2 linked regions of the Ovis aries genome follow. The protein of the gene in region 2 interacts with the protein of the main gene of each other region in a biochemical or structural test. Links are inferred from orthologs where the notes say so. Each region holds a gene or a part of one and is shown on either strand. Other genes may lie near its edges.

The links.
Region 1: the proteins of ITK (region 2) and LCP2 form a complex in vitro, tested with the Homo sapiens proteins (2 studies listed by BioGRID, with this or other methods). The link is inferred for Ovis aries from reciprocal best matches to the Homo sapiens genes ITK and LCP2.

Annotation. Positions count from the first base shown.
Region 1 is NC_056069.1:2,360,984-2,371,806, forward strand, and holds the start of LCP2 (lymphocyte cytosolic protein 2), read right to left. Parts: upstream 5,390-10,823; 5' UTR 5,181-5,389; coding exon 5,103-5,180; intron 4,544-5,102; exon of another isoform or gene 4,282-4,543; intron 598-4,281; coding exon 535-597; intron 1-534. UniProt on the Homo sapiens protein: Adapter protein primarily involved in signaling pathways within T-cells, as well as other immune cells such as platelets, mast cells, and natural killer (NK) cells.
Region 2 is NC_056058.1:66,503,981-66,514,020, reverse strand, and holds part of ITK (tyrosine-protein kinase ITK/TSK), read right to left. Parts: intron 9,165-10,040; coding exon 8,993-9,164; intron 8,638-8,992; coding exon 8,421-8,637; intron 7,499-8,420; coding exon 7,434-7,498; intron 7,344-7,433; coding exon 7,225-7,343; intron 3,986-7,224; coding exon 3,828-3,985; intron 2,512-3,827; coding exon 2,440-2,511; 3' UTR 1-2,439. UniProt on the Homo sapiens protein: Tyrosine kinase that plays an essential role in regulation of the adaptive immune response. Regulates the development, function and differentiation of conventional T-cells and nonconventional NKT-cells.

The DNA of each region.
Region 1 (10,823 bases), on a different chromosome or scaffold from region 2:
AGGAGCAGAGAAAGTCATAGCACATGTGTGTTGATTGGCACAAAACCAATGGTGTGAATTTGTAAAGAGAAAGAGGGACATAACTGAAATAAGGAGGGCGATTCTACCATTTATTCTAGTCAGCAAGTATGTTCCCTAGAGTGACAAATAGGAAAAGAGAGTCTTCCATTCTCCCATGTGGCTGGTTTTCCCCCTTGAACTTCTCAGAGTATGAGTGCTATTTGAATAGATTTTCAAGAGGGGTATGTGTGTGTGTTAACTGTAATTTGATTCCTAGTTACACTTTGACTTCAGAATGTACCTTAGTGTCAGTGAAAGATGTGGGAGGTATACTAAATAGGAGGATCCTGAGAGGTGATGAGAGAGGCGCTCATACAAAACCCTGAAGAAGGCCTTGGGTTGTACGCGATCCTGAAGACAGGCAATGCCCCTGCGCAGCCTCAGAGACAGGGTAGAAAGTTGGCTCTGCAGCCGTTGGTTAAAGTTACAGAATAGTTTTGGTCATAATGCGTTGAACTAGCAGCCAGCACTCACCAGAAACCGTGGCCCATCGATGTGATGCTTCTTCACGACCTTTTCACAGTCCTTGTAGTTTAGCTGAAACAGAGGAGAGGAGGTGTAACAGTGCAGTCGGGTTCACGCCACTGGCTCCCCGTCCTTGCCTGCCCCAGGAGCTCAGCAATCTGTGGTGCTTGTGGCTAGCCAGGCTCCCCGCTCCCCCGCTGTCTGTCAGAGGCGCCCTATCCTTACATCAGCCCTGCTTTCACTAACTAACCCCTTGGGACTGTAAAATGGAGAAATTGCCTGTCGAAGGCTTTGAGGCCAACCCCTACAGAAAGAACGCTGCTAGAGCTGCCAAGGGCTGGCCATACGCTCCTCCGGCAAATGGAAAAGAGTTGAAAGAAGAAAACAAATAGTAGGCATCATCTGGTCACCCAAAGACAACCCGGGTGAACATGGCAATGTGTTTCCTTCAGTGGTTTTTCCAAAGCATCTTTCTAAACACAGTCAGTGTTATCATTCATATTCAATCTCCTTATCTTGTCTTTTTCTCTTGAAAAATAAAGGCACTGACTCATGTTATTACAAAGTGATTTTGAACATTATTTTAATTTGCTCTATTGCTGAATATTTCGTTATTTCCCCAAATTGCTGCTGTAACAATGATAATTGAAACTTCTAATAATTCCTGAATACTTGCCATATGGTAGGCACCATTCTAAGTGCTTAAAACAATTTTAATCATTTAAGCTTCATATTTTTCAAATGGAGAGTCAAAGGCACAAAGAGTCAAGTAACTTATACAAGGTTCCATGGATAGGCAGGTGGCAGAAGTGACAGCTGGGCTTCAGAGCAAGGTTTTAATGTCTCTATCAGGAGTATTCTCCTTTTAGTTACTAACAGTAAAACTTACAAACGGTAAGTGAACAGACTTAAGTGCAGCTTAACCTACAAGATCAAACAACATCATAGATATTCTTTTGCATAAAATTTTTTCTTCTGTTTTAAATAGTTGAAGTTAGAGTCTCAGAATAGGTTTACCGCCTCAACAGGAATGATCATTTTTAGAACCTGCTGCTTTCCTAGAGTCACACCAATTGACAATTGAAGCAGGTGTCTGTTTGGCCTAGTCCTCAACAGTGTGAGCAGTTACCTTTGAAATATCTCTAAATTTGAGGTTTCTAGCCAGAGAATTTAAGGTAAAATGTTTGTCCTTGAGAATCTCAGCTTCTCCTCGAAAGTATGGATTTCACAGTTTGTGGACACCTTTTTTTGGTAACTTAAAATCACAACCTTTTCTTATGGCCAAGAAATCAAAAGAGTGAGGGCAATTGTTGTGAACTTCATGGGATGACAGAGTAGGGTGAATATTAGAAAGCTCGGAAAAAATGATTTAGTGGTCCGTGGGAAGAAACCAGCTTCTGCATAGCCCCAAACATCCCTTTTATCCATGTTGCAAATGGTGAAATTGTTCTTGGAATGTTCAACTGCCTTTAATTCATCAGTTTCACCACCAGCGTTATGAGCTAAATCTCTGATTTTGCAGAGTTCTGACTTGGACTCTAGATAGACAGACAGTCCCGCAGACTGGGGCCTGCCCGGAAGTTTGGTTCTGAGTCAGTAATATCAGGCCTGGGAGTAAGACCTCTGTCCTTTCAGCATGCATGCATACATACTCAGTCCTTCAGTAGTATCCTGCTCCTTGTGACTCTGTGAACTGTAGCTCACCAGGCTCCTCTGTCCATGGGATTTTCCAGGCAAGAATACTGGGAAATCCAGGGGATTTCCTTCTCCAGGGGATCTTCCTGACCCAGGGATCGAACCCATGTCTCCTGCGTTGCAGGCAGATCCTTTACCAACTGAGATCCCAGGGAAGCCCTGTCTTTTTAGCATATACCCAGATAATTCTTATGAGTGACAAGCTCTGGTTGGCACTGCTCTGAGCAGGTACCTGGTGTTGTGGACAGGACAACTAAGGCCCAGAGAGGGGAAGGGACTGGCTGAAGGTCACACAGTGAGTTGGGGACGCAGCTAGGATTAGAACTCATGGCTCTGATCCAGAGTCTTTTCCGTTGCATGGTCCAAGGATCCCTTTCTGCTAAGTCAAAAGGAATCAGAGGACTTAAAGAAATAGAAAACATGACCTCAATCCTCAAGGGCTTAAGTTCTGGACAGAGGATGAGCTGCACATGTCTGAGACAGTAAGACACAAAAGCCTGCTGGTCTGCATGGAGTCCCCAGGCAGGGTCCGGTGAATAGAGTAGGAGAAAGGGAAGCTCGAACGTGAATCAGACCCCTCTCTGCTGGAGGCCTCACACATGTATCTCCTCTATTTATCCCGACAATCCCACGAGCCAATTACTACGAGTGTCTCTGTTTTACCGACGAGGAAGCTGAGGCACAGAGAGGTATAGTAACTAAGGGAGGGTCAGCAAGTTAGCAGGTGGCGGAGTCGGGATTCAAGCCAAGGTGTGGCTGACTCCAGAGCTGGTTGGGGAGGTGCCTCCAAGGGAGACCTGACCCCAGCGTTTCGTTAGAAAGTAAACCTTCTGGGATTTCCCTGGCAGTCCAGGGGCTGACTCCAAATACAGGATGCTTGGGTTCATGCCACAGCTGAGAGATCCAGCATGGCACAAATCAGATCCTGAACACCACAACTAAAACCCAGCACAGTCAAATAAAGAAACAAAAATTAATTGAAAGGAAGGAAAAGAAAATGGCATGCCTAAGTCAGAGACATGACACATTCCTTAATTTAAAAAAAAAAGAGAGAAATCGCATCTGCCAGTGGGTCTTCGGTGGCTAAGATCCAACCCCAAAGGACGCCACGGTCAGTTCACTTAGCATTTTCTCTCTGGGGGAAGTGAGGTGCTTAGCATTTAAAGGGTGTCTATCTGGGTCTGTAGAAGGGCCAGAACTTCCTAGATCACAAACACCCTTCAGTCTCCTCGTCCCTTCCTTCATGCGGGGAAGGGAACCTGTTCAGTTTCTGTGGACATGATCTGGAGTCCAGGGTCTGTAAGAAAATTCTCTCTTCCCCCAACTGAGGCAGAGAGCAGCTACGTGAGTCATCCTGACCTGCAGGCCATCTCCCTGTCCTGAACGGAACTTGGATTCCTCCGTTGCTGACCTGGGTTGTACAGTTCTCTTTCTCTTATTGGAGGCTGGGCCTCTGGCCCATCAGCCTGTCCCCAGAAGTGCCCTTGATAATTCTCAGTTCTTTTCTCCTTTCTGTATTGATCTAATATGCCAGTTTATAGCATCTTAGTAAATTTCACTGTGGCCCTCAGTTATTTGGTCTAAATTTAAGAAAAGCATTTAGAATAAATACTTTTGACTCTTTCAAAAGTCAGCTATCTCAACGATCTTTGCACCCACTGTGCTGAAACCTAAGGTTATTATGACTTCCAGTGAGGGAAAAATAACCGAAATGAGATGCACAGCAGGCAGCAAATAACAGGATCTGTGGGTTGTGCCTCTACCATGCCACACCCAATTCAACATTTTCACATTTTTCTTAGGGCAGAATAGTTGTGGCACTAAGTACTTTGGCACCATGTAGACCCCAGGTTTGGGTATGTGTTACAGGGAGCCTACCCCATACCAGGAAAAATAGTAAGTTAACTTAGAAAACCTCTAAGGTCATGACTTAAAACCATATCCTTGTGATAATCTGGAGTATCCACTGAATTGGATGCCAGCCTCCAGAAATGGGAGTGTTAAGAGCTCAGAGGTCCCTCACAAGACAACGTATCCCTTGGACAGTCATAGAGGGTCACATGACTTGGGATCTGCCCTAGCAAGCCTGTGACCCATGGCCCCACCAGCAGATGACCAAACACAAGGATCCTTGAGCTCCTTCAAGACGAGAAGGTGGGATAGCAACACTCTGGTCTCAGCTCTGCCACAAGCTTGGCCCCTGACCCTTCCCGGCAAATCTTTTCCTTTTCGGAGGCCTCAGTATCTGAAGGCCTGAGGCTCATGTCATTTCCCAGCCTGCATCATAAGACCCTCATGAAGTTCCCATGAGACTCTGTTCTAGGTAAGTGGTTGAATAGCTCTCTTTCAAAGTCACAAGCAATGACTTGCTCAGACGCCATCTCCAGCATCGTTCATCACAGTCTTCCACCCTGCCTTTCCTCTCTCCTACCCCTCAAGACTCCATGTTTCCTTTCGAGCAAGAAGCCTTGATCTCACTAGCAGTTATAGCGGTTCTGAGTCTCAGGGCACGGACTCTGATACTGGACAGGTGTGACCGGAATTCTGCCTCCATCACATGCAGTCCCTGGGGTTTGGGGCCAGTTAGCTTCCCTTGGCTTATTTCGCAGCTGAGCCAGTAGGACAGCAATCCTGGAGCGAGTTAGATGCGTCCGTGCCTGAAGGGGACAAACTCAAATCCTAGCGTGTAGTAGGCACTCGCCTCTTGAGGGCTTCCCTTCTCCCCAGAACGTATGGCCAGAGAGCTCAGTGTTGCTCCGTCAACCAGAGAGACTGCCCAAGGCTGGAAGCTCCGCTGCTGTCCTTCATGCCTCTCTCATTCTGCCTGCACTCCCTCTTCAAGCCTCTGCCCAGCCCCCCGGCCACTAAAGAGCAAGGCTCACCTTTTTGAAATAGTCTGCAAGGGCGTCAGGGTCCCAGTTCAGGACCTCAGAGCGAAAGGGCACGTTCTTGAATGCCATGTCTGCTCACTCAGGAGGAAGCTCACCAGCTGAGCATGGGCGCTGCACCCATGGACAGAGAACCCCAAATCCAGAGTCTGGAGGTGTCTTCAGCTCTTCCAACTCCCGGGTACCTTCTGGAAAAGTCTTGTTGGAGCCGATGTCCTTTCTGTTGCAGCCAGATCCCAGAAAGCAACAGCTTCCTCTGCGAACAAATATGGTCTCTTCTCAGAAAACGACTCAGCAAGTTTCCTTTACCACTTCCTCTGCTGGGCTCTAAATAAGTAAACAAGGAAGCCCAGCTCTGGGGACTCAAGAGGCAGAAAGAGCTACAGGCTGGTAATTCCCCGCTGGGCCCCATCTACCCCAGCCCAGTAGGAGGAGCGATGAAGGGAACTTAGACACTCAAGTGTGTTTCCATTGAAATCCCTGGCATCCATATGTTTAATATTTAAACCACATTCCTGCTTGGGTGGGTCTTTACAGATGAAAAATCTAATTTGACGGTTCACCTAAAATATAGACAATCTCCCACATCAGTGAAGGGGAAGGAACATGACCTTTCAATGCTTTCCAACCACGACTCAGTTTCTCTCAAAAGTGTTAAGGTTGAGCTTCTTTAGCTGCCCCTTATAGTTAGTACAAGTGGATCCTCTGAGTCAGTGAGTTGGGATCCAGAACTGAGAAAGGAGCACCACTGGGAAGACCTGGGCTTCATTTCTTTCTTTCTTTCTTTCATCTTCTTCTTCATCTGTTTATTTGGTGGCACCAGGTCTTGGCCACAACACACAGGATCTTTAGGTCCAGCACATGGGCTGGAGTTCCGTGACCAGGGACGGAACCCAGGCCCCTGCTGTGCGAGCATGGAGTCTTAACCACTGGACCAGCAGGACAATCCCCAGGCTTCATTTCAGATATACTTGTTTCCATGCTGGGCAACCTCAGGCAAAGGCTTAAACTCTAGGAAGCTCAGTTTCCATATGTGTAAAACAGGAACAGAAAAATTGCTTCATATGCGCATAAAACTATAGATGTATTTAGCTAGACAAACTTAAGGAAGGAAAAAAATAACAATTGCTACTGATGTTGCCATATAGTCTAGTCACTCTTGTTCCCCCAGACATTCTATCTGCTATTTATTCGTCCACATTTCTTTCTAAAGAGCACATCCCTGGAGACAGCAGGTGGGAGTCTGGGTTCTCTCTGTCAGTTTCTCAGACCCTGTGCACTTCTCGTAGCTGAGCATCTCCTGGACTGAGGGTGAACCCAGTGTCAAAAGTAAACATATCCGTGGAACACCACAGGCTCCAATTTCACCGTTCTATCTAGTGCTCCCCAGGAACACACAAACGACTGTCTGTCCTGAGGTTTGAGTCTGTTGCGTTTACTGAGTTGGCCCCTGAAGTGATGGCTTCCTGAAGCTTTTTCAAAGATCGCTTTGGCCATGCAGTTTCCATCGTATACGCAACCTCAGGAGCCCCACCCTCACTGTTATGCACCAACCTCGCCACGTCTTTATGTAAATAAGATCTGCCCTTTATCCCGGACTAAGCATCTTAATGGATGTGGTCCATGAATCTGAGTTAATGTCATCTTTACCTCCAAGGGCGCCAGAGGCATCAGCTGAGGCAGCCCAGGCCGAGCACTTCTCACAGGGCTGGAACCTCAGTGCTCTCTGCAACTGACCATGCCCTAGGAAGCATGGCCTGCTGCTCAAAAGTTCTACCACGGATGGGAGAGGCCCCTTCACTTTTTAAATCCCCAGAAGAGCAGCAAATGATAAAAAGCCCATTTGAAAAGAGAGGAAGAGAGATAAGTGGCTCCACATAAAGAAGTCAAAGAAGATATCATGGAATTAGCTGGGATTTAAGCAGGGCCTTGGAAGAGGCAGCTGAGGGAAGGCATTCTGAACCTGTGTGTGATATGTGACGTGGCATGGTCTGGAGTGTGTCTTGGGCTATGCTTCATGAGCAAACAAAACATTCCACACCTGTGCACCCCTGTGGAAAGGAACATTCGAGATCATCCTCAGAAAGAGAAGCAATTTTTTAAATGACGTTTACCATACTCACAAGAATCCAAATCTACAGAAAATCAGAAGTTGGAATTAACTTACAGCTAAACATGAGGTTCTTTTGGAAGAATTATCCAATGAATGTGGCCAAGATGGACAATCTCTAGACCCACGTAAAAGAGAGACATAGCAGTTAAGAAACCTGCATGACAGTGATGACAACGGGAATCACCAAGAATCACTGTGCAAAGGAGTAGCCCGAGGACTCTGCACTAATTGTGGGCACTGTATCACTCCTGCTCACAGAAGGGAAAACTCAGGCTCCGGAGGTAAAGCTTCTTGCCACCCTTGCACCCAGCAGGTAGGTGGTGCAGCAGGTCTTGTCTGGAACTGTCTCTGAGTCCAGAGCCCCTGCCCTTGACCTCTGTGCCACCTTGGGACTCTGAGATGTTCCATAAATTGCACAAGGTGGAGCAGAGGTTCAAACCCGGCTGGCTCTCCAGAGCCTATGCAGCGTCCTCTCTATCAGCCTGCCTTCCACGAAAAGCAGGCAAGGCTGGCGACCAGGGCTGGTTAAGAAGAGGACGCAGCACTTTCTCCAGGGCAGTTCTTCGGTGCCCCCTTCCCCACAGCGTCATAGACCCACTCCCCAAAACGGGGAGCTGGGCCAGGAATGCAGGTGGCGCAAGGGGAAGTGGGCTGCTTCAGGCTGGAGCCTTCCCACTTCCCCAGTCCTCGGTGATTTCCCGACACTCACGAGTTTCACAGCTCCTATCCCTGGCTGGAGAATTCCAGAAGTTCCAGGGGCGGGGCTAGCTGGACCCCAAGAGAGGCTCAGGATACCAGGAAGGCCAGAGTAACCTGGGGCAGCTCAGCTCACTTGGCCTGGCCTCAAGTTCTGCACCTATAAAATGGGCAGTCGTGAGAGCAGAGGAGATGCTGCGGCGAGGCAGGCTGGGGCCAGCTCTCAGTGGGCCTGACTTCAAGCACGAAGTAGAGCAGAGAGCAGGGAGCAGGTAAGGCTAGGTGAGGTAGAGCCGTGGCTTGGGGGTGGACACCCTCTCCCATCTCTCTCTCCTCCAGCAAGAGGGAAAAGCAGAACTCATGAGGGGTTTTGCTCAAACTGAAAGGTTGTGAAGGCCTTCTAAGGCTTTGTAATCTCTTTCTCCAGGTTAGGGTGATGGTCAATGGTCTGTGCACAATAACAGCAATTCATATCAGTACATGGGGATGGGGGCTCTTGGGGTAGGGATCTTAAATGTACATCCAATAGAGCCTGTGGACAAGAAAGCAAATCTTGCAGGGAGCAACATGTCAGATTTTTAGGGCTTAGAGACAAAAGGTGGCTATGGGAGCAGTGTGCACTGCAACCCAGAGTGAGAGGAGGATCTCCTAATGTGCCCCCTACCCCACCCTGCCCGGTCCAGACTTGCAGCTCTTTTTCCTACTAACCCACAGAAGAATTTGATGAGGAGATAACTGCCTTTCTTCACAGCTAATTTTAGAAGTGAGAAAAACGCGATTTGCTAGAAGAGGCTTGTGGGTTGCAGCCTGGGGGTGGGGGTGGGGGGCGGGGTTGGGGGCCAGGGATGGGAGCTGTCGCTTGAGGACCAGGGGGGAATGGAAACATAGAGACCATGAAGGAGAGCCCGTGTTGACGCGTTTAGGAGAGGGACCCACGGAGCTGAAAAGTGGAAGGCAGGACATGCTTATTCTGATGTGATTTGGACAGAGGGTATTGGCTGGGGAAAAGAGACCAGGTGGTGGCCTGTGGCCCAGAGACAGTGGCACCTCGGGGCACTGCGGGCCATGGAGAGAGTGCCCTCACAAGGGTTCACTCCAGTTTCACCTCCACCAACCTGTTAAGGCTCCATACATCCCCTGGGGCCAAGGCCAATCGCTCCTGGAAGTTTTCCTTGGGGCCTGTCCATGTTTGTCTACAGTGGGAAGAAGAGCTGTAGCTGTCACCTCCCAGGGAGAAGCCCATTCTCTGCTCTGCTCTCCGAGGCCGGCGCTGGAAGCACTCTCTGTGTGCAATCCCTCTGGATACTGAGGGCTCCACCCACACAGGAGGTTCCAAACGGGGGCACAGGACGGGGTCCTGGCCGTTCGGTGAGCTGGCCGTCCTCTGCACCACGCAGCGTGCACTAGACAGAGCGGGCCCTGCCTGGGGCGTGCCTTCCAGGAAGGCCAGGCCTGCAGCGGCCGCCCGTGTGCAGGGACGCTCCTCCCCGTGCTCCTGGAGGCTGGAGTGGGAGTGCGCGGAGCGGCTCAGGCGAGCCCCAGGGCAGCGCTTCTCCAGGCCGCCCTGCGGTTTGTGTCCTGGCGACCACCCCTGTCTGGACACAGTCACCACCCCCCACCCATCCCTGGATACGCAGCAGGAAAGCATGAACCAGTCGCTGCTTGTGAGGTAATGAGCGGCAATAGTTTCCACTTCCTCAGAGCTGACAATTTCATACTTTGCAAAAAATGTGTATTTTTCATCCTCTCTCTGTGTCTCTCTTTCTCGGCTGTTTTGGCTGAGGTGCGTCAGAATGTGGAAGGTGGGTGGGAGGAAGTGCTTATTTGGACTTCCTGTCAAGCCTGTCTTCCTCATTTGCCCTATATTTCACTGTGGGCAGCCTATCCCCAGATAGCTCTGCCGTGAAAGGAAACTCCCCAAGTGCCGGCAAGGGTGGGTAGGCTGTGGGCAGGGAGCCAGAGAGGGGAAGGCAGGCTTCTCAGCTTGATAGAGGAGAAAAAAAACCTTGCCTCCTCCTCCTCCTGCCCCTGCCCAGGCCAGCTGGAGAAAGGCAATGGAGGAGGGGTAGAGTGCATGCAAGAAGAGCAATGCTCCCCGAAGCCCCACAAAAGTGACTGTGGCCCACTCTAGCCCACCCTCCCAGGGAGAGCATGCCCACCCCTGTGTGCTCAGCTGCTTCAGCTGTGTCCCGCCCTTTGTGACCCCACGCACCGTAGCCCGCCAGGCTCCTCTGTCCACGGCGATTCTCAGGCAGGAATACTGGAGTGGGTTGCCGTGTCTTCATCCAGGGGACCTTCCCGGCCCAGAAATGGAAGCTACTCTTCCGTCTCTTGCATTGGCAGGCGAGCTCTTGACCGCTAGTGCCATCCGGGAAGCTCCGCCTGCCCCTGAGACGAAGAGATTTGCAGCCGACAAGCCCAGCAGCCCGGCAGGGATCAAATCTGTTATAGCTCTCAGCGCATTTCATCCTCACGAAAGACCTGTGAGTAAGTAGATACGCAACTTTATAGACCCTGAGAGACCAGAATTCACGTGCCCAAGTTTCCATGGCGAGTCAGTATGGAGGGCGAGTGCCAGCTCAGGGCCAGGCAGATTTCCGTCTGTTCTTCTCTCACTTGTCTCTCCTGTCTTGACAAGTCCCTTAGCTGTTGGTGTTCACTCTGAATGTTCCTGCCTCAGTGTAGCCCTGGCGCTTGTGGCCACCGTGCTATTTCTAGAGCCCCTGATGTTGGCTTCCTTGACCATATCAGGGCCCTGACCATCAGTTTTGTATCTGACCTTCCAGATTTTTGACCCAGAGTGCACCTTCCAAATAGCAGAGGCACCTTGTTTGGTCTCTTCAGTCCATTACACCTTCCTATGGGTGAAGGTCAGAGTTTCCCACGACTCTGTTCCTACAGACAAC
Region 2 (10,040 bases):
TAGGAGATATTTGTAACATTTTAATTGTGAATGACTGTACAGTAATAAATATTCACTCTAGTAAAATATAAATACATAGTCTCAAAAGGACACAATGCGGAATCTATCAAATGCATCTACAACCAAAACTTTGCATAGGGGAATTCCCTGTAAACACACGGCACCATTATCAAAATGTGAGGTCGGGGGTGGGGGGGAAGCCAAACAGGCAGGAAGTCCATTTTTCAGAACACTGAGAGGTAAACTTTTGACACGTGTCGAGTTAAAGCCTCAATGAATCTGAGCTTGAACAAGATAATACCACGCAAGGGAGAATCATTCTAAACCATACCACAGAAAATCAGTCAATTCTGATGTTTTCCTTCTAGGCTTGATGTTCCAGAAATCACCTCTAATTAAAGGTTCCGAAAAAGAATGTACAAAATGCCAAAAAAGTAAACAGGGATGATTTTGGATAAGTTGCGGAATGTCATCTTCTGAACGATAGTTTTATCTTGAAGCTACCAGTGTCACGGTAGTTATAGTTAAAAGCTGTGCATCTGCATCACCAGGCAGTCAACATATCACATGATTTAGAAAGCGTTGACTTCAACACCATCCAGCAATCGCTCTGAGAGTTTTATCTGAACACCGTAGGAAAATTAAATCTCTCTCACATCAGGGAATACCCTTTCCCAGAAAGTGTCCAAGAAGACCGCAGCCAGTTCAAAGTTGAAGTGATAATTAAAGGAAGTATTTATACTTCTGCAGGAGAATCTTTTAAAGCCACTTTGAAGCCCATCTATAAAGGGCTTCTTGCAGTATTACTCTGGTGGGTTGGGTGAATCAAAGGGTTAATTACTCCTTTAATAACTCCAAAGTCATTAACTCTAATGAAGGTGAGGATATAGATGAGGAAATAAAGATCCTATTCCAAGTTGGAGGGCTACATCGACAACCACACTGCTCTATACAGGATCAACTTTACTTGCTAATGGTGCCGTGTGGGCTTTTCCCCTCTGCTGTGCTTATCTCTTCTGCAATCTCTTTGACCCTCAGTAGGAGGCAGTATTGAATAAAAATAGAGAAACTGCATTGGCGTCAGACAGAGGTGGGCTCTATATTAACACTTCCTAGCTCTGTCACTTCGGGCAGGTGTCCAAGCTTTTCAAAGCCAAAGTTCCATTATCTGTAAAATGGGAATGATAATAATACCTCACAGTGTTGGTGTGAACTCAGGGTGAACTGAGATTCTGCAGATAAGGCCTGTAGCTCTGTACATTTTCACTTTGCATATTCAGGTGCTCAATAACAAGAGGCATCTTTGTGCATCTTGGAAGTCCCCGACTCAGTACCTGACTCAGTTTCCATCCAGGTGGTTTGAGCAAGAACAGACCTCTTGTTCCTCCCTTAGAATTTAGGGAGACTTGAAGTCTCAACCTTGAAGTTGCAAATCTCTAGGGCCGAAACAAGCTTCAGTTTCTCTACCAGGCCACAGTGCCTGGCACAAGTCTGCACTCTGTTGGTGAGGATGGAAGAATGCAGAGAGGGGTCTGATTGTTTACAGAAGCCATGGTTCCACCCCCACCACTGCCCCCCAACCCAGGATGCTGCGGAAGCATTCGGCATGAAAGGGGAGGCAGAGTCACCTGCTTGACTTGGTACTAAAGATGAGCATCCAAGTGGTAACAGCCTAAGGCCTTTTCTTGTACCAGGTAGTTCCATCATCTGATGCCCTCTTTCTGCCCAGACGCCAGATATCCAATGCTCCAGCAGTGAGATCAGAATTGTTCACCCCAGTCCATCATGCTCTCTTCAAGGAGAGGGTAGCAGTGTACTCTATGAGTAAAACCTCACAAAGCTGCTTCTCAGCATATCCGGTCTCTGAGGTAAGCAATTGTTCCATCATCTTCTGAGGCAGGAAACTGTGGCTGACAGCATCACAGAGGCAGAGCTTACTCTTTGTGACTTTAATTAACTCATTAGTTCTCCTTGAGAAATTGTCATGCTCCTTGATCATCTCGCCCCATATTTTGGGATTCTGTATTGCTGGGTCAAATAAAGAATCCCTTGACCATGAACTTTAGATGCATGTTTAAAAAAATAATGAAGGTAATAATCCAGGGTCCTACACCATCTCTCCCTTCTCTAAGAAGTGCAAGAAGTGTTGCCTTAAAGCTGTTGATTGAGGTTTGTGCATTACGCAGAAGAGGCTGGAGGAAGGGTAGGGACATCACTGCTGCTCTGGCCCCGCCCCCAGTGCAGTGGCTGAGCCTTCCGCCTGTGGCCTGGCGCCAGCCTCTAGCAGGCTGCTGCCTCCGTGGCAGTTTAGGGACTGGCGCGACAGGCCAGTTGCCTCTGGGGAGTCCTGGGCTGGTGGCAGCTTTTAATGCTCTGTGGAGGGAAGACCTCCTTCCCCTACTCAGGATCTGTAGCCCGTGGCCCAGCACTGAGTCTCTTTTAAAGCCCCAGTTCTGCAATTTCAGCCAGTTGACTCAAGAGTCTGGAGAAAGGTGGCCGGTCTTCTGGTTTCTAGGAAGAGAAAGAAAGGTTATTCGGTGATTTCCTTGTACTTGTGTGTCATAGCTAATTCCAAAGCAAACCAGCATTAAACTGCAATACTTTTTACTTATTTTTAAATATGCTTCTGTATATGTTGTATTTGACAGCATTGTGTCTTAGTTGTTAACAGCAGGCATTTTGGAATCAAAATATGGCCTGCTTTTGAATTTCAGCTTTTCCACTTAGCTGTGTGACCTTGAATAGGTTATTTAACGTCTCTGAACCTCAGTTTTTTATCTGTAAAATGAGGATAATAATATTATCTATCTCATAAGATTGTTGAGAGAATGAAATAAAGTCATATATAAAACGTAACATAAATAAGCGCTAAATAGCATCAAAAAATAAATATTTGGGTATAAATCTCATAAAATGTGTATAGGATCTATACTAGGAAAAATATGAAATTCTAAAACAAGATATCAAAGAAGATCTAAGTAAATGGGAAAATATTCCATCTTTGTGTATAGGAAGACTTTATATTGTTAAGATGACATTTGTTTTCAACTTGATCTATAGATTCAACACAATTACAGTAAGAACCGAGCAACTTATTTTGTAGATACTGACAAAATGACTCTAAGGTTTATGTGCTGTGCTGTGCTTAGTTACTCAGTCATGTCCAATTCTTTGGGACCCCATGGACTGTAGCCCACCGGGCTCCTCTGTCCATGGGGATTCTCCAGGTAAGAATACGGAATGGGTTGCCAGGCCCTCCTCCAGGGGATCTTCCCAACCCAGGGATCAAACCCAGGTCTCCCACATTACAGGTGGATTCTTTACTGTCTGAGCCATCAGGGAAACTCCTAAGGTTTATATGGAAAGGTAAAAGACTCAAAATAGCCAACACAACACTGAGCAAGGTGAACAAGGTTAAAAGACTGATACTCCTCGACTTTAAGACTTACTACAAAGCTTTAGTAATCAAGAGTCTGTGATGTTGGTGAAAGAATAGACAGATAAATGGAGTAGAGTTAGGATCCCAGAAATAGGCCTACACAAATGTAATCAAATCTACCCCTTCTTCCTCTCTGACAGTGTGTTGATGGCTTGTACCATTATATTGCAAATCAAATAATATATAAGATCTCTGCCAGCTCTTCTAGAGATAGGGAACTCCTTCTTCCGGTAATAGGTGCTCAACGTCATTTTCTTGCTAATCTGTTTTGTCACCCCTACTGCCTCATCCTCTGAGAGGGCTCCTTCTTTGGGGGATGGGGGCAGACCCTGAAGTTACAGATTATAATGTGAGGGACGGAGAAGGGGGAACCACTTCCTTTACTGACCTCTTTCCAGCAATGATTCATGATCTGGTAGACATGCTGGGAGGCCAGTCGGGGCTTGTATAACCGAAATCCAGTGGTGATGTCTTCTACCACCTCTGAGTTACTGCGGTTTTCATATGGGATTTTGCCTTCACTGAAGACTTCCCACATCAGCACACCTATGAGAAATAGGGAATCAAAACAGGTAGTGATAAAGTTCATAAATAACAACAAACTCACATCTAGAAATCACAGACCCTTTGAAATTGAAATTTGAGTCTCTACCACCAGAAAGTGCAATGTCAAACCACCTAAGCCTTACTGCTGCTGCTGCTGCTAAGTCACTTCAGTCGTGTCCGACTCTGTGCGACCCCAGAGATGGCAGCCCACCAGGCTCCCCATTACCTGGGATTCTCCAGGCAAGAACACTGGAGTGGGTTGCCATTTCCTTCTCCAATGCATAAAAAGTGAAAAGTGAAAGTGAGGTCGCTCAGTCATGTTCGACTCTTCGCGACCCCATGGACTGTAGCCTACCAGCTCCTCAATCCATGGGATTTTCCAGGCAAGAGTACTGGAATGGGTTGCCAAAGCCCTGTACTATTTCTGAAGAACAGAGATTTCCCAAATGAAGAATGTTCAAGCTCAGCCCTTAGTTATATCTAACTCAAATGCTACAACTAAAGTTTGCAGGGGATGTAAGCTCAACTGTCTACACATGATGTAGATGGATGGAGTAAATGAAGTCTGCATAACAGGGACTAGTGAGGACTGTGGAAAACCAGAAGTTAAAAGTTCTGTCCCCAAAGGGACAGCTGTGATTTAGCTCCAACAAGAGTAGGGCAGTTGGGAATGGGGGTTCAGGATTGCCACATTTGTCTGATTTACTTTAAAAGATAAATCATAAATTGGTAGTTTAAAAATGCAAACTCAATTTGATTAAAAAAATACTGTGTTAACTGAGCAAAACTCTTCAAGTTGTCTATTTTTGACCTCTGATTTAATCACTTTTCCTTTTCTGCCTTCAGTAGAAATTACACCCAACTTTACTATGTACTTAAATCTATTCATTGGATGTCACAGTGGGAACAGAGCTTGCAGGTCACCTAATCCAGTAGTTTTCAAAACAGAGTCCAGAGAACTCAAGGGAAGAATTTTGATTCTTCCATTTGATTCAAAATATGATCCCTCAAGTGTCTGAAGTCTTGAAAAATCATGTCAGAAATTTGTCCCAGTGGCAGATCCTGGGGCCCAATCCTGACAATTGGATGAGAATTTCTGAGGGAGCCTCAAAAGTGCCTCGGGAGTTTGGGGAGATTCAGTAAATAAGGCTATTTAACACCCCAAGATGCCAGGATTTCTAGTGAGCTTTCTTTGGAAAATGGGGGTTTGCTGCTCAAAGCTGGCTGGAAAACAATTGCTTTTATGCAAACCTTGTAATGCACTGAGGAACTAAGTACGGCCCCAAAGAGGATAGTTGACTTCTTTAAAATAGCGTAGTTCATTAGGGCAAAAGCCTTAAAATGCGTGACAAAGGCCAATGGCCTTGAGGCAGGCAGCGAGCTCTCCTCCCTCCACATTTCTGTTTCTCAGGGTTGTCACCCCAGTTTTCTCACCCTTCCTACTCTGCTTCCATCAGTCAGCCTCATCTTTGGACACTTCAGATGACGCATCCTAGGAAGGGACAGACTCTAAGCTCAATCCTCTAATTATAAAATGCAGCAGCAAAGTCCTAGGCTGACAACCTGTGGCAGAATAAACACCATTCCGAGTCAGTGGGTCAGTGTGACAAAGTGGCCATGGCTGCAATCGTTTCTTTATGGAACAACTGGCTTGGTGCAACATAACCAGCTGTACCCAGGGAGAGTGGGCACACCCTTCCTAGTTGTATGCACTGGGGCAAAGAGGATCTGAGGTTGCTCTAGTGCAGTTTTATTTCTTCTGAGTTCATTCTGTACCTTCAGTTTGATTATCAAAGTCATAGCTAGGCCTGTTGAACAGAGGAACTACTTTAAGGAACAATTTTTGTTGTTGTTGTGGTTTCGTAGCTAAGTCGTATCTGTCTCTTTTGTGACCCTGTGGACTGTATCCTGCCAGGCTATGGGACATTAAATCCCTCTGTCCATGGGATTTCCCAGGCAAGAATATTGCAGTGGGTTGCCATTCCCTTCTCCAGGAGATCTTACTGACCCAGGGCTCAAACCTTGGTCTTCTGCGTTGACAGGTGTATTCTTTACCACTGAGCCACCTGAGAGGTCCAAGGAACAATTTAGAAGGACTCAAAATAAACATACCACTTGGCTGGTAATGGATATTCTAAAGTACTGAAGAAGACTAATTAGTTCTTTTCCTAAGGGATTTAGTCTTCTCCCTGGTTTCTACTACTAGTCAATATACTTGGCAAATCTTCCCTTCATACAGAATGACAACATCAAACTCCAAACCATTCCTGTCCAAAGTAGAATCCTTACACTCCAGATCAAAGAGGTTGTCCAGTACAGTTTTGTGCACACTTTAATATGCACAGGCTATGATTTACAAAGACATGACACTTCCAGCAAGAACATTTAGTGCTTCTTGTCACATGGGCATCATTCATTCTTTCATTCATGCCCATCTGCACTTATGAGAAATCGAATTCTTTACCATGGCCAACCAATTTCATGGCCTACATTTCTCCTGCTAAGTCAGTACTCCCTTTTCTTTGGACACACCAAACTTTGGCACTTGCTGCTGCCTTTGTTAGGGACACTCTTTCCTGGATCTTCAAATGGAGACATCTTCCTCTCATCATTCAGCTCTCTGCTCAACAGTCACAGAGAATCTTGGAGAGGCCTTCCTGGATGGATCCTGCTATTTAATACAGATCCTCCCTCCATTATAGTCTCTCTTTGCCCCATTACTGCTTTGTTTTTTACATAGCACTTGCTTACTACTCCCTGACTTGACTTTACACACATATTTACTAGCTTGTTTACGTGACTGTTATCTCTCCTTAAAACTTGGCTCCAAGAAAACAGGAGTCTTTTCTATCCTATGTAACAATGCTTTGTGAGCACCCAAATTAGCCCCTGGCATGTAGTAGATGCTAAAAAAATCATTGTTGAATGAAAGGGAAATAAACTCACTGAGGGTTAAATGTGGGAATAAACATAATGTTGCAAAAAAACATGGTTCCTGCCCTCCAGGGACTCATATTCTAATCTTCTGACTCCTCCATCTCTTGATCTCACAGCAGCTGTCATCAGCATCCTGTTTTCATTTTTATTTTTACCCCCATTTCAAAAATAACCAAGAATAAATACAACAATGAGTCTGCAGACCCTCACTGGGATGCCCTCACCATCCCAGCAATTGGACAAATGAAACAACTGGCACACAGTCCCAGGTTGTGTGGGTGTGGGGCCAGAATGACACTTACCAAATGACCACACATCTGACTTGCTGCTGTAGCGACTGAAGGAGAAGACTTCTGGAGATGCCCACTTCACTGGGAATTTGGTGCCTGTGGAACTGGTGTATTGGTCATCAAGGACGAACCTGGGAAGAGAGAGGAGAGAGATGGTCCGAGTGTCCTGGGGGCCTGCGTCCCATTCCTGAGACTTTGCTGGTACCACATCCCCATGTTACCTTGTCATCCCAAAGTCGGACACCTTGATGACTTGGTTTTCCCCAACTAAACAATTCCGGGCAGCCTGGAGCAGAGACAGGCAAACAAAAGGGAAAAGAAAACTTGGTGAGTAATCAGTAATTAAGGAGTCTCCTATAATCACAGTGCTTTGCTTATATGGGAGCAATAAGGAGCTTCACAAATGTTAATTAAGCATCACTAGTGCGCGATGGAAACTGAATGCGTAAGCTCTTTTTATCAGGGTGAGTAAATCTCATCTTTCATCTTCATTCCTGGGATCCTAATCAAAAAAGAAATCCATGGTGTTGTGTAACCAATTATAAGCTCCAGTGCAACCTGATGTGAATCTTAGGGATGGTATGGAGAAGCTGTCATCCATTTGACTAAAGTGAGAATGTATTGAGGTTGCTAATTCTCTTAAAACTATTCCTCAATGGGGAGATGACATGGTCCCTAACTCACATCACAGAGTCTTGGATTTGAAGATCCCTTACTGATAAAAGATCCAGTGAGTCTTAAATTCTAATGTGCCTGCAAATTCCATGGGGTAGACATGTTAAAATGAATATTCCTGCGCCTCAACCACCAGAAATTCTGAGGTTGGTTCTAGGATCACCCCAATGCGATCCTGATAGATCCTTGGATAACATTTTAAGAAAGCATGTGCTTGTCAACTTCTCTCATTTTACCAAGAGGATGTGGAGACATAGAGAGGTTAAGGAGGAGCCGCTGTTAGCTTCATTTTGGAAGAATGTAAACTCCAACTTAGAGAGTGGAAGTTAGAGGTGGGGCTGGGAATAGAGCCCAGAACTGAGTCCCATGAGGCTCTCCCACATGGGTGGAGGAAGGAAGAAGTTGCAACGGGGAGGAAGAAAGCTTGTGCCTTTTTATTGATTCGTGCCGTTCCCAGACTTGGTAGTTCTGCATTTCAGTGGGACATGCCCCTTTACCCTGGACTTGTAGGGTTTTGCCCTGCATCCTCTTACCAAGTCTCTGTGGATGACACACTTCTCTTCCAGGTAGGCCATGCCCTCACATACGTCCAGACACATGCCCAGCAGGGTCTCCGCGGCAAAGAGCCCCCTCTGGCTACGCAGGTAATCTGACAGGCAGCCGTGTTCCATGAACTCAAACACCAGGCAGATGGGGGCCTGTTCCAGGCATACTCCATAGAGCTGGACTAGTTTGGGGTGAGAGAGTTTCCTGGAGAACAATGGCAAGAGTTGAGATGGTCTAAATTCAGTTTCCCAAAATACACTCCCTCCCTCAAACAAAAATGTCTCATTGAGCTGAAGAATGGCGCGGACTCAGCTGGTGTGTGTGAGGACAACGAAGGTCAGTGTGACTGGCATGCATGGAACCAGAGGAGAGATGGGTAGGAGATGAAGTTAAGGAGTGGGCAGGGCCAGACCATGGCAGGCGTTCTAGACCACAGTGAGGAGCTTGGTGTTATTCTCCATGCCATAGGAAGCCATCGCTGGACTTGGGCAGGGAGGTGGCATAAGACGACATTAGAATGGTATTGAAAGATCACAGTGCTCTCTGTGTGGCCACTCACATCATGACTTCAGCCTCCTCAATGAAGTCCTCTTCTGACATAGCCCCTTCTTGAATGGTTTTGATGGCCACCTTGTCCTTGTTGAGCCAGTAGCCAAGATGCACCAACCCAAACTGCCCACTGCCAATCTCCTGCACAAAAGTGAGCTCTGAGGGATCAATCACCCATTTCCCTGGAACAGAAAGAGAGGGTTTTCCAGAGTTGGCAAGCAGTAGATATGAGGTATAGGACTACCAGGAAACTATACTGCTCTATATAGAATGTTAGACTATCGTTAATGTAGCTCAAAGATGGCAAATGGTATAAGCCCTCATACTTAGAACTATAGATAGGTAAAATTATCTTTTTCCCAAATAATTACATAGAATGTGCACTGAAAACCATGAAAAAATGTGTGTGGGGACGATCACATGGAAAGAGGACGGAGGACGGCATTAGTTGAGATATTAAAGTCAATGAAAGGGTTCTAAGGTCCCAATCATCTCCTATACCTAATCGAAAATTGTTCTTGCCATTTTTCATGTAGAGCAAGTTTTATTTGAATTGGTCATTCATTCATGCATTTATCCATCAAGAGCATCCATTTTGTAGACAGCACTTGTTAGGCCTTAGCGGAGGTAAGGCAGTGGATTCCAGGTGGAGTGGTACAGAGGTGCAGGCCAGCACACGGCCTAGCACAAGGCAGGCTCTCAACAAATGCTCAGCAAGTGAATAAAAGGGATCTGAGTCTCAACCTCCATGCTGACAGAAATGAATGGGTTCATAAAATACTCTCTGGGCTTCCACCCAGCATGAACACATTAGGATTCTACAGGTATTGGAGTTACTTTGTTTTTGTCAGGAGGCTGAGGGGCACTATCCTCTCCTGGCGCTTGGTCTAGTACCATAAACAGTTCAGTTTCTACCTCTCTGAGGCAGAGACTCAATAGGAAGCAGTACCAAGAACCCACAGTGTGCAGACATGGCGCTGGTTACAGATGAGGAGCCCACAGCGACATTTCTCAAAGTATCACCCTCTAACCCCTGGTGTCAGAATCACCCAGGGCAC